Daphnia pulex: one gene and its partners. The protein of the gene in region 2 purifies or fractionates together with the protein of the main gene of each other region. This does not show direct contact. Links are inferred from orthologs where the notes say so. Each region holds a gene or a part of one and is shown on either strand. Other genes may lie near its edges. The genes, in order: syntaxin-8-like, vesicle transport through interaction with t-SNAREs homolog 1A-like and vesicle-associated membrane protein 2-like.

Evidence for each region.
Region 1: the proteins of vesicle transport through interaction with t-SNAREs homolog 1A-like (region 2) and syntaxin-8-like purify together in Homo sapiens (affinity purification with mass spectrometry; 3 studies listed by BioGRID and IntAct, with this or other methods). This does not show direct contact. The link is inferred for Daphnia pulex from reciprocal best matches to the Homo sapiens genes VTI1A and STX8.
Region 3: the proteins of vesicle transport through interaction with t-SNAREs homolog 1A-like (region 2) and vesicle-associated membrane protein 2-like purify together in Homo sapiens (affinity purification with mass spectrometry; 4 studies listed by BioGRID and IntAct, counting the BioPlex papers as one, with this or other methods). This does not show direct contact. The link is inferred for Daphnia pulex from reciprocal best matches to the Homo sapiens genes VTI1A and VAMP4.

The regions. Positions count from the first base shown.
Region 1 is NC_060022.1:2,056,261-2,059,522, forward strand, and holds syntaxin-8-like, read right to left. Parts: upstream 1,920-3,262; 5' UTR 1,833-1,919; coding exon 1,795-1,832; intron 1,644-1,794; coding exon 1,449-1,643; intron 1,386-1,448; coding exon 1,299-1,385; intron 1,237-1,298; coding exon 1,100-1,236; intron 1,044-1,099; coding exon 951-1,043; intron 891-950; coding exon 789-890; intron 722-788; coding exon 654-721; 3' UTR 541-653; downstream 1-540. Other genes in the region: serine-rich adhesin for platelets-like, read left to right, coding at 1-59, 123-146; bestrophin-4-like, read left to right, coding at 2,071-2,137, 2,390-2,486, 2,563-2,673, 2,770-2,944, 3,009-3,129, 3,213-3,262. UniProt on the Homo sapiens protein: Vesicle trafficking protein that functions in the early secretory pathway, possibly by mediating retrograde transport from cis-Golgi membranes to the ER.
Region 2 is NC_060026.1:5,810,009-5,813,262, forward strand, and holds vesicle transport through interaction with t-SNAREs homolog 1A-like, read right to left. Parts: upstream 1,707-3,254; 5' UTR 1,557-1,706; coding exon 1,507-1,556; intron 1,448-1,506; coding exon 1,392-1,447; intron 1,324-1,391; coding exon 1,262-1,323; intron 1,190-1,261; coding exon 845-1,189; intron 774-844; coding exon 615-773; 3' UTR 545-614; downstream 1-544. Other genes in the region: ubiquitin-conjugating enzyme E2-17 kDa, read left to right, coding at 1-105; 60S ribosomal protein L34-like, read left to right, coding at 2,079-2,143, 2,314-2,511, 2,572-2,668. UniProt on the Homo sapiens protein: V-SNARE that mediates vesicle transport pathways through interactions with t-SNAREs on the target membrane. These interactions are proposed to mediate aspects of the specificity of vesicle trafficking and to promote fusion of the lipid bilayers.
Region 3 is NC_060027.1:3,974,223-3,977,592, forward strand, and holds vesicle-associated membrane protein 2-like, read left to right. Parts: upstream 1-1,538; 5' UTR 1,539-1,667; coding exon 1,668-1,721; intron 1,722-1,841; coding exon 1,842-1,894; intron 1,895-1,953; coding exon 1,954-1,995; intron 1,996-2,055; coding exon 2,056-2,202; intron 2,203-2,264; coding exon 2,265-2,350; intron 2,351-2,415; coding exon 2,416-2,441; 3' UTR 2,442-2,471; exon of another isoform or gene 2,472-2,535; intron 2,536-2,547; 3' UTR 2,548-2,859; downstream 2,860-3,370. UniProt on the Homo sapiens protein: Involved in the pathway that functions to remove an inhibitor (probably synaptotagmin-4) of calcium-triggered exocytosis during the maturation of secretory granules.

The DNA of each region.
Region 1 (3,262 bases), on a different chromosome or scaffold from region 2:
CTAGAGAAGAGCTTCTCAACTCCATCCGAAGCTTTGCCAACGGAGGTTCCCTAAAGAAGGTAATAGTATTTTTGTTTTATTAAATGTAATTTGATTAACATACATTTTTTTAAATTCTATAGACTGGAACTAGCTTGGAGAAGTAGGAACATGTGTAAACAAGTCAATGCTGTCTGTGTCAAAATTCCTTGCTATATAAAAAAACGCCGTTAAAGTTTCTATTCACATTCCAGGTTAATCATTTAAAAAATGTGTTGCAGTTTTGAGACATTCGTTTCACAGTTAGTTTTTTCCTTCTTTTTTTTTCTTCGAGATAATAATTATATCAATAAAAACTGTTATGCATTCCAAACCTGTTATGCTTATTCATTGTTTACTCCGTAATGCGCAAATCCTTTAAGATGAACGAAAGTTGTTAACGGAAGTTATAAATTAATTTGTCTATAAAAAGAAGCCTGGTTCATTTTCACATTCAATTTCAATGCCCTAAATGTAAACCCCACGAAGAATGGGCAAATAAATACACTTGTCATACAACCATTTCGAGAATAAATTGCGTTATATATTTTTCTCTTTCATCACTTTAATAGAATCGATGTAGTTTTAAGGACGAGATACGGTCAAATTAACTTAGGCAGCTTTGGAATTTCTCATTAATGTTTCGGAATAGAAGCGACTACAACGATGGCAACAAACAACAACAGGATTACCATCCAATATCCTGAAGTGAAAACAAAGAAATTATTGCATCTGTCTGAAGCACCTTATCTAACAAGATCTGTGTTTACCAAAAGTACGATCCTTCCGATCAACTACAGTTATTGTTGAAGTTTGCTGTGCCATTCGATCCCGAGTGCGATCAACGTTGTCTGCGATGTTTTCAATCAAATCTAAACCAAGAAAATACAATTTTTATTATTATTTTATGATAATTAATCAAAAGAATTTACCATTTTGTGATTCAACTTCATCACCAATTGTCTGGGCAATTTGCCTTTGCCTGCCAATAATTCTCGAAAGCTCATCCAGCCCTCTGTCTTGATCTAGAAAATACATTTTTATTAAGACACATATGAATAACACATTTAAATCCACTAACCTGCCATAATTTGGACTTGGATTTGTTTGAGTTCACGATGAGGGATATGTTCACTAGTCATTGCAGATGATGATGGATTTGAAGAGGTTGTTGTTCCTGATGACAATTTACTAAGGGATTGGCTCTTATCCAACACGCTATAGTAAACAGAAAACTGTAAATGAAAATATTTCTATTCATAGTATGAAAAACTACAAACCTGCTATTGACAGAATTCAGAAGCTGCTTATGTTTGCTTAAAAGATCTTCAAGGAGAAGGCCCCGCCGTTCTTTCTCTCTTGCAGTCCTGAGTGAAAAGTTTTAGAAATGAGCTAACTTCATTAATGTTAGGTGGAAGTCAATACAATACAATTGTTTATTTTGTGAGAGCCGTTCAAGATGTCCTTTAAGACTTTGGATTTCACTGTAAAGTTGACTCAAGCTATTCCTCAACTGAAAAGAAAGTCTTGCATGTGCTTGAGAATTCTTTGGTAGGTGATCCCTTTCATTAAAAATCCCCAGTAATGAAAAATGTAATTTTTCAGCAGATGAGAACTCCTTTTCCCTGGTTTGATGGATACAATTAAGAATTAATGTGATAACATCTACAGATGCAGCAACAAAAATTTGTCTTTCGTATTATTTGGTAAGAGCTTGGGCCAGAACCACAAGGTAAAATATTGACATTATCTAAAAGATTAGTTTTGTTTACTTACCAGGCATTAGCGTCGTTTCCCAAATCGACGAGCGCCATTCTTTCATAGACGTCTGCTCGAGACAGCTGTCAAATGCGATGGTGTCGCTTTGTATATATATATACAGACTTGGGAAAGGGCAGGGAAAAACGAAAGAGAAAGAGAATGGCCGGCGCCGGCCAGACATCACATCAGAATTCTTGTTGTGTCATTGTGACATTGTGTGTTATTCTTTCCCGTACCGTACGGTCGGTGCTTTAGTGTATTTATTCCTCGTGATGTTTAGTGAAAAGATTTATGAGTAGATATACACGAGGTCTATCAATTTCTGATTTCCAGTCTCCTGCGGCAGCCGGCAAGCCTGGTAAGTTATTATTGGTTTCACTTGAATTTAACCACTAGATTAGATTACACCTACACTACAAGGCCAAGTAGATACTAATTGTGGTTTAACTGGTATTATCAGGATCGACATTTTTTCCTAATAAATTGGCCCACAGCTCGTAGTGTAACATTTAGTAGGAACGTAATGAGCAAAGAGTGAGAGTGGTTTGTTACAGCCACTTGGCCTTGTCCCACGTCTCTAAGTTATCCTCAAGTTCACGTTATAAGCTAGCACGGACGATTACGACGATGAATCCCATGTTTGGAAATCCGACGACTTCAATTAAAACCTACAAGAAATTCATCGGCAATGTGTCTATTCTTCTGAAGTAACTCTTCCGTCATTGGCATTTTTGGCAATGCTATCTTATTCATTCAAAATTGTAATTTCAATTACTTTTATAGATGGAAACGAAGTGTTTACAAATTGTTATGGAAGCACATGGTGATCTACGCAATAGTATACATATGGCTGAGCATTCTCTACGAATTCATCCTCGACGAATATGGAAAAATGTTAAGTATTGGTCAATACATTCCAACAGTCTTATAATGGTAAACGTTCCACGCGCTGACTGAATATCGTTTTCTATTTTTGTAAATTGTTTGTAGGAATTTCAGGGTCCTTGCCGAACATTGTTCCCGATATAGCGGTAGTATTAACCTTATGGTATTGCTTGGCTTCTTTACATCAACAGCCATGCAACGATTATACTCGATGCAAACACCCGAAACAGACCAATCAATTACCGTATTCATATTTTCACTGAAACCAGATCTACCTGAAGTAAGTCCAACTGAGAGTCATTTATCATTATAATGCAATAATTTTAATCGCTATTTTATTAAAGGGGCCTGTGATTATCGATCAATTTGTACGATGGCAATTGCTTGCTTTGATATTTTCATTTTGTCTGGTGTCTCATCCTATACGAAAAATCTATCCAAATCTTTCGTCCTTACAAACTGCAGGTAGTCTAATGATTAGACCCTTCTTTTTTAGATTACCTTGTTATTTCTTTACAATTAACATATTTATATATATTTCAATCTAGGATTACTAACTCAAGACGAAAGGCAGATCATAGAAGACTCTCTTTTGACT
Region 2 (3,254 bases):
AACCCGGATGATCCTTTGGTTCCCGAGATTGCCAGGATATACAAGACTGATCGAGAGCGATACAATGAACTTGCACGTGAATGGACTCGTAAATACGCCATGTGATGACTACGTCATTTGTTTGGCCCAGCTCTTTTTTCAAATCCCCTCACACCCCAACTTCCCCACCCATCTACTCCTTGCGATCGAAATGAATCGAGATGTCGATGGAACTTAATTAATTCTAAATAAAAATCCTTGTGCCGTCAGTTAGTATTTTCGGTTTATTGTCGCAAAAGCTGGAATAAGTTATCTATTGATGCTTACATAAGAAATAATGCTTGTGAATAAGCATACGAAACTGAACTTAATTATTCCCTTAGTGATGTTTTGAGTGATTGAAATTTTTATTGCTTTTAGAATTCATGGTCGAAAATGGCTTACTCAGAAAATTTTCCAATTCTCAATTGAATATTATGTAATTTCAGTAGGACCATCTGTTGCAGATTTAAATAACCTTGAAGTGATCGTAATCGTAGGATGACAAATAAAAGCATCAGTTGCATGACGTGCGCAAAAATACTATATTGAAACAAAGTACATACATTTACATATACATACAAATTGTGGAATGGCTAAGAACTTTTCCGAAATTTAATATACAATGTAATTATAATCAAAATTACAGCAAGAATAATTAAGCCAACAAACGCAAGACGATTCTGAATAATTCTGCCAAACATGCGATTCAGCAAGCGCCCACTACGACTTAACTGTTCATCGGTTTCTCGTAGCTTATAACAAAAAAAAGTTAGCATGTTAAAATTTGAAATCAAATATTAGAGCGATGTTTTCTTAAACTTACTCTGTTCCTGGTTTTTTGAATGGTTTCCCTTTGTTGATTGAGATCAGTAAGTATGTTGTTTCCAATCTGCTCTGTTTCAATAGCAATTTGATAGCCTGCTTCTAAACGATTTCTTCCTCGTTCTAGCTTTTCACCATTACTAATCAATAGTTGATTTTGATCATATACATCTTCTGCATCAGTGTCTCCAATTAATTCTTCTCTCTCTCCACCATTTGAAATTCTTTTACTCTTGAATTCTTTTTCTAGTCTGGAAAGTTCAACTTTGTAGCTTTCAATACGAGTACAATATTTGTTTTTTGAAGCTGTATCCAGTTCTCGAATCTCCAATTCCATCTGTTCCAACTGAAGTAAAATTAGAATATTTAAAAGTCGTGTTACATTTATCAAATATTAATGCAGAATTAATATTCTTACAATATCCTTAGTTTCTTCAAGTTCTCTTACAATCTGTTGAATGGAACATTTCTTATCCTCCGCTGAAATGTTAGAAATAAAATTGACTAAACGGAAACATAATAAATGGAAAATTTCAATATGATTGAACCTTTAGTTATTCCATTCAGTGTTGCTGTTCTTGCAGTAATGCTTGCAGTGATGACACTTTAAAATCATAATTATTATTGAAAACTGTGAGTGAAGAAATTTTAAAATAAACATACCTGAATTGCTGTTCATAACTTTTTAACAAGGAGTCCATTTTCGTTAACATATAGGGTATATTTACCTGTCACAAGACAACACCAGGGGTACGGCGAGACGCTACATGTAAAGTTGTAATTGTAAACATAATCCGTAAACATTTGCCAATTTAAAATGGCTGCCAAGTACTTCAAAGAATTGAGTAATAACATAAGAAAAAAGATTTGTTGCCAGTGGTGAATTACTTTTAGAAAATTTGTTGAGTAAATCACGAAATTTATTGCAATTTATATTTAACTTATTTCGAAAGGAGACAAGAAAAGATTAATATTATTTTCCGCGACCATTTTCCATTTTTCAGTTGACTAAAACTTTTATTTGCTACTTGGCAACAGCGAACGTTGTTCTCTTCGTCAAGTAAAGTCTTTCTCTTAGAGCTCCTTTTCACTTCGGGCTTGGATTCGAAAGGTATTTTTAAATATCAATGTACATCCATATCTCCTTGAAACTATTTTTCAGATTAAATATTGTAATGTGAACTAGTGTTCGTTTTGAACTAAATGGTCCAACCTTTTTGTTGATTTTAGGTAAAATGGCTCAACGTTTAACTTATCGGAGGCGCCTCTCCTACAACACCGCTAGCAACCAGCGACGCATGTAAGATTGTCATACATTAATTAGATGTCTAGATTAGAGATAGAATTGATCAGTTGAGTGAAAGCGATTTTTAATGATAATTTTCTAAATGTTCAACACTTTTATGTGAAGTGTCAACAATACCTACAACTTATTGTTATGAACTTGTGATAATATTTTTATGTTTTCAGTGTGAGAACCCCAGGTGGTCGCCTTGTATATCAATACAAAAAGAAGCAAAGGAAGATTCCCAAATGTGGTATGTGCAAGACTACACTCAGAGGTATCCGACCAGCAAGAGCTCATGAGCGAAAAAGAATGTCACTGAGACAAAAGAAAGTCTACCGTGCCTATGGTGGATGTCTTTGTCACAGCTGTGTCAGAGAGAAGTATGTTGTGCTCAGTACATTTTTAAATTGGTGTTTCTAACATGTTTTCCTTAATTTCAGGATTGTGAGGGCGTTCTTGATTGAAGAGCAGAAAATAGTAGCCAAAGTACTGAAGGCTCAGCAGGCTGCTGTTAAATCTTCTAAAGGCAAAGTTTAAATGTCCTCCAATGAAGTGTGGGTGGATTTTAATACACCTTGCATCATGTGGTATTATTGTATTTGTGTTTCTCACTGTCAAAAGGTGTCCCCTTCATGGCTCGCTTGAAATTATTTAAGCTTTAGGATAATGTGTTCTGTGCATCCGACTAGTTTTTTTTTTTTTTCGGATTAGAAGTTGGATTGATAAATTTAGGTTTAACAATCTTAGCGCTAGTTTACAGCTGTAACCTAGCGTCAGCCTATTTCACCAAGAGGTTAACATTTATTCTTTTGCTGAAACAACCAATTAGACAGGATGTCCTTACATACTACTAGAAATTAAAATAATGTCAACTATTTACTAAATTAATTAAATGATTAAATCAAAATAAAACTACTTGGCTGTTGTTTCCAAGGCGGTTCAGAAATTTATTTTAAGAAACGCCGTGCAGGTCATAGTTTTAAAATCACAGTAAAATTATTCATTGGGCTTGCTAGATTGCTGGAAAGACAAATTTAATCTTGTAGTTTCGTAACATGATGCGTTCCTACGGTTCCTAACAGGTTCTATAATATTAAATCCGTTAAACCAATCACAACACACA
Region 3 (3,370 bases), on a different chromosome or scaffold from region 2:
TTTCTTTCGATGTAAAAAAAAGAAGAGCAAAGCACATAATTTTTTTTTTTTTATGTTAACGATTAATGTTAACGATAGAAATAACGACGTTTAAAGAATGAATCTGAAAGTCAAGTAGATAATAAAATGTGCCTAAAATGAAAAGAAAGTTAAATAGAGGTTTTTCCATTTGGTTCGTGTAAGTAGAGGGAAAAGTCGTGCGGCTAGTCGACTAGTGCGCACCATGGCGGTGGATAGCCGAAACTTGCTGCAGACTTTGCTTGATCCAAACGATAGTCACCGTAAGGCCATGTACTGTAACCTGTCAGGCTGTCAGCAGCAAAAGTGAAACCTGTTTTTTTTCTTAAGTGTTTAAAATGACAGAAGGTTTTTGTTTCATATGTTCAACTTATGAAAAAAAAAAAAGAGATCGCCGAAGTTTTTTCAAAGTGAAATGAGTTCTTTCTCAATTGAATTACTGTTAATGTTGCATTCTGGCACTTTGAAAAAACTTCGGCGATCTCTTTTTTTTTTCATAAGTTGAACATATGAAACAAAAACCTTTTGTCATTTTAAACACTTAAGAAAAAAAACAGGTTTCACTTTTGCTGCTGACAGCCTGACAGGTTACAGTACATGGCCTTACGGTGACTATCGTTTGGATCAAGCAAAGTCTGCAGCAAGTTTCGGCTATCCACCGCCATGGTGCGCACTAGTCGACTAGCCGCACGACTTTTCCCTCTACTTACACGAACCAAATGGAAAAACCTCTATAGGCTAACTGAACTAATATATGAACAATGGGAGGTCGGGTGTGTGAGTCGGATAAGGCGTGGCTTAGTGATCGCAAGAGCACTTTGACACCTGAGTTCGACTCTACTGGTGAACATAGCTGTTTCACACCGATCGATAAATAACTAAGTAAAATAGCAATTAATGAGGTAATAACTCGTCAATGGAATGGATTATCGTTGGTTTCATTGATTTCATTGAATCTAACGAGGTGCAAGAAAGTTAGCATGGAAGTATTGCATTCAAATCCTAAGACCTACATCTAGGTATTCAAATGGCTTTACAACGTTACACTTGTAAGCCAATCGGTTAATTCTTAATCCATGGTTAACTGAATACAGCGGTTCTTTGAGTCCTAAAAAGCGTAGGCTCAGAACTCTAGATGAAGCTAACATTGATCTGGCGATGCCAGTATTGGTCTACAGAGTGAAAAACCCCATACATGTTTTTTTTTTTTTTAATTATTATTGTTTAATTGTTTAAAGTTAGATTTCTGATCATTATTCAAACTTCAGGTTTCAAAAATACTCTGATTTAGACTTTTGCCATCTATTCGCACATGAATATACTAAAAATCGAATTGTTTTTATAAAAATGGTCTTTTTACGGCAATTAGCGAGTTATTGAAGATCCTATGCTAAATGCTATGTGTTCTTTTTAAAAAATGAAACAGTACTTATTAATCACAAACAGCTATTCTTTTGCTGCTTTTACTTGTAGCCCAGCTGACGAATGTGTACACAGTTGTAGTCGTCGACAATAGATGGCGTTTAGCAGAAGATATTTGATGAAATTAATTGACAGCTTTGTTTTCCTTTAGTTATTGTAAAGTTACTAGTTAGTTTGATCCTATTTTCACATTTTCAAGAAAGTTCATAAATATTTTAATATCTGCTATGTCTGGAAGACCAACTAGACCAAGCAGGAGTGAAGGAGCAGATTTTGAAAGAGTAAAGTCATAAAGTGTTTTTACCAAAAACTCACTTGTCAGCTTTAATATTCTTTACAACTATATGTTGTTACGTGGGAGTAACTTAAATACTAACACTAAGAATCCTTGTCCTTTACAGGAGCAGCTACTAGATAATGTGTCTGATGATAGTGATGAAGATTTCGTGCTCAAGTAAGCTATTTCTAATATTTCAAATTAGTTTGTTTCATTTCAAATTTGAATTTTTCCAGTAAAAAAGATGGAGGACAATTTTCAAACAACAAGCTGAAAGAGTAAGCTTACATCTTGAGAATTCAAATTACATGTTGATCTAATTGTTTTTCTTTTGACAGGGTAAAATCCCAGGTGGAAGAGGTCACTAACGTTATGAAGGAGAATGTGCATAAGCTGTTTGCCAGAGGTGACCAGCTGGATGAGCTGAATGAGAGATCAGAAAATTTAAGAAGTGCTTCCGATGAATTTCACACTGCTTCCTCAAGGTAATCTTTTATTTTTAACAACTAGTCTACAATATTTAACAAAATCTTTACTCACCATGCAGGCTCCGTAAAACAATGTGGTGGAAAGAGATGAGAACTCGTCTCATTCTAGGATCACTCTGCGGTCTAGTTGTGCTAATTATGATAGGTATCATGTGCTGCATTTTTAAACATAGCAACTTTTATCTAAACCATTTTTCCAAATCAATATAGTGTGGCTATCAGTCAAATACCATTGATCAGCAAGAAGATTTTCAAGATATCCCCAAGTATTGAAATATGTTGTAACTGAGCTATTCTAAAACAGCTATAATAATTTGTTTTTGATTATTTTAAAAAAAAAAGCCTGTCGACCGGTATTACTAGGCGTACAAGTTGAGTCCATCAAAATCCGCAAATTCAAATATTGAAAGGTGGGGTTTGCACACTATAGTCAGATGAATGGATGACAATTTGAAATATATATTTGATTACTATAAATCCACTTAACATTGTCTTGTGGAATCGAGTGAGATTGATAATGTCTGTCACAGAAAAATGAAAAAAAAAAGTATCAAACACTTTGATGAACGGCTGATCATTTTCCCATTGTATTTCACCTTTTACACGGTTTATATATCAATTGATGAATACAGAACCGATGGTATTCCACATATATTTATACATCGTGTCACTCTCTCTCATTGGATTCCATCCCCCGCCATATCCAACCCGGTCACAGCTCTTTTATTTTCCCTCGAACTGCTGATCATTCAACGAAACTTAAATTTTTTTTCCCCGATTCGTTCTATATTCTCCTAACTTTTCAACAAAAAAAAAAACACGGAGTGAATCTGATTTTATCATCACGTACGGAAGTTTTTTTTTTTCATATGTATGTACAGGGAACTAAAAAATAAAAACAGGGGGAACGACACAGTTTTTACGTTGAATATAAAAAAGAACTCAAACAAGGAAACAACATCGTATCCAGTGGATGAGCAAAGAACGAGAGAGCAAGAGCGGAGAGGGGAGTGTGTGTGTGTGGTGGAGGAATTCAAGTTAAATAAATAAAAAAACAACCAGGGTAATTTTCGCGACGTAGTTTTATCTCTTTGGGTTGGTTTGTTTTTATTTGGTGGAAGAACAAAACGAACAAGAACATAAGAATGAAGGAAGGCATGAAGCA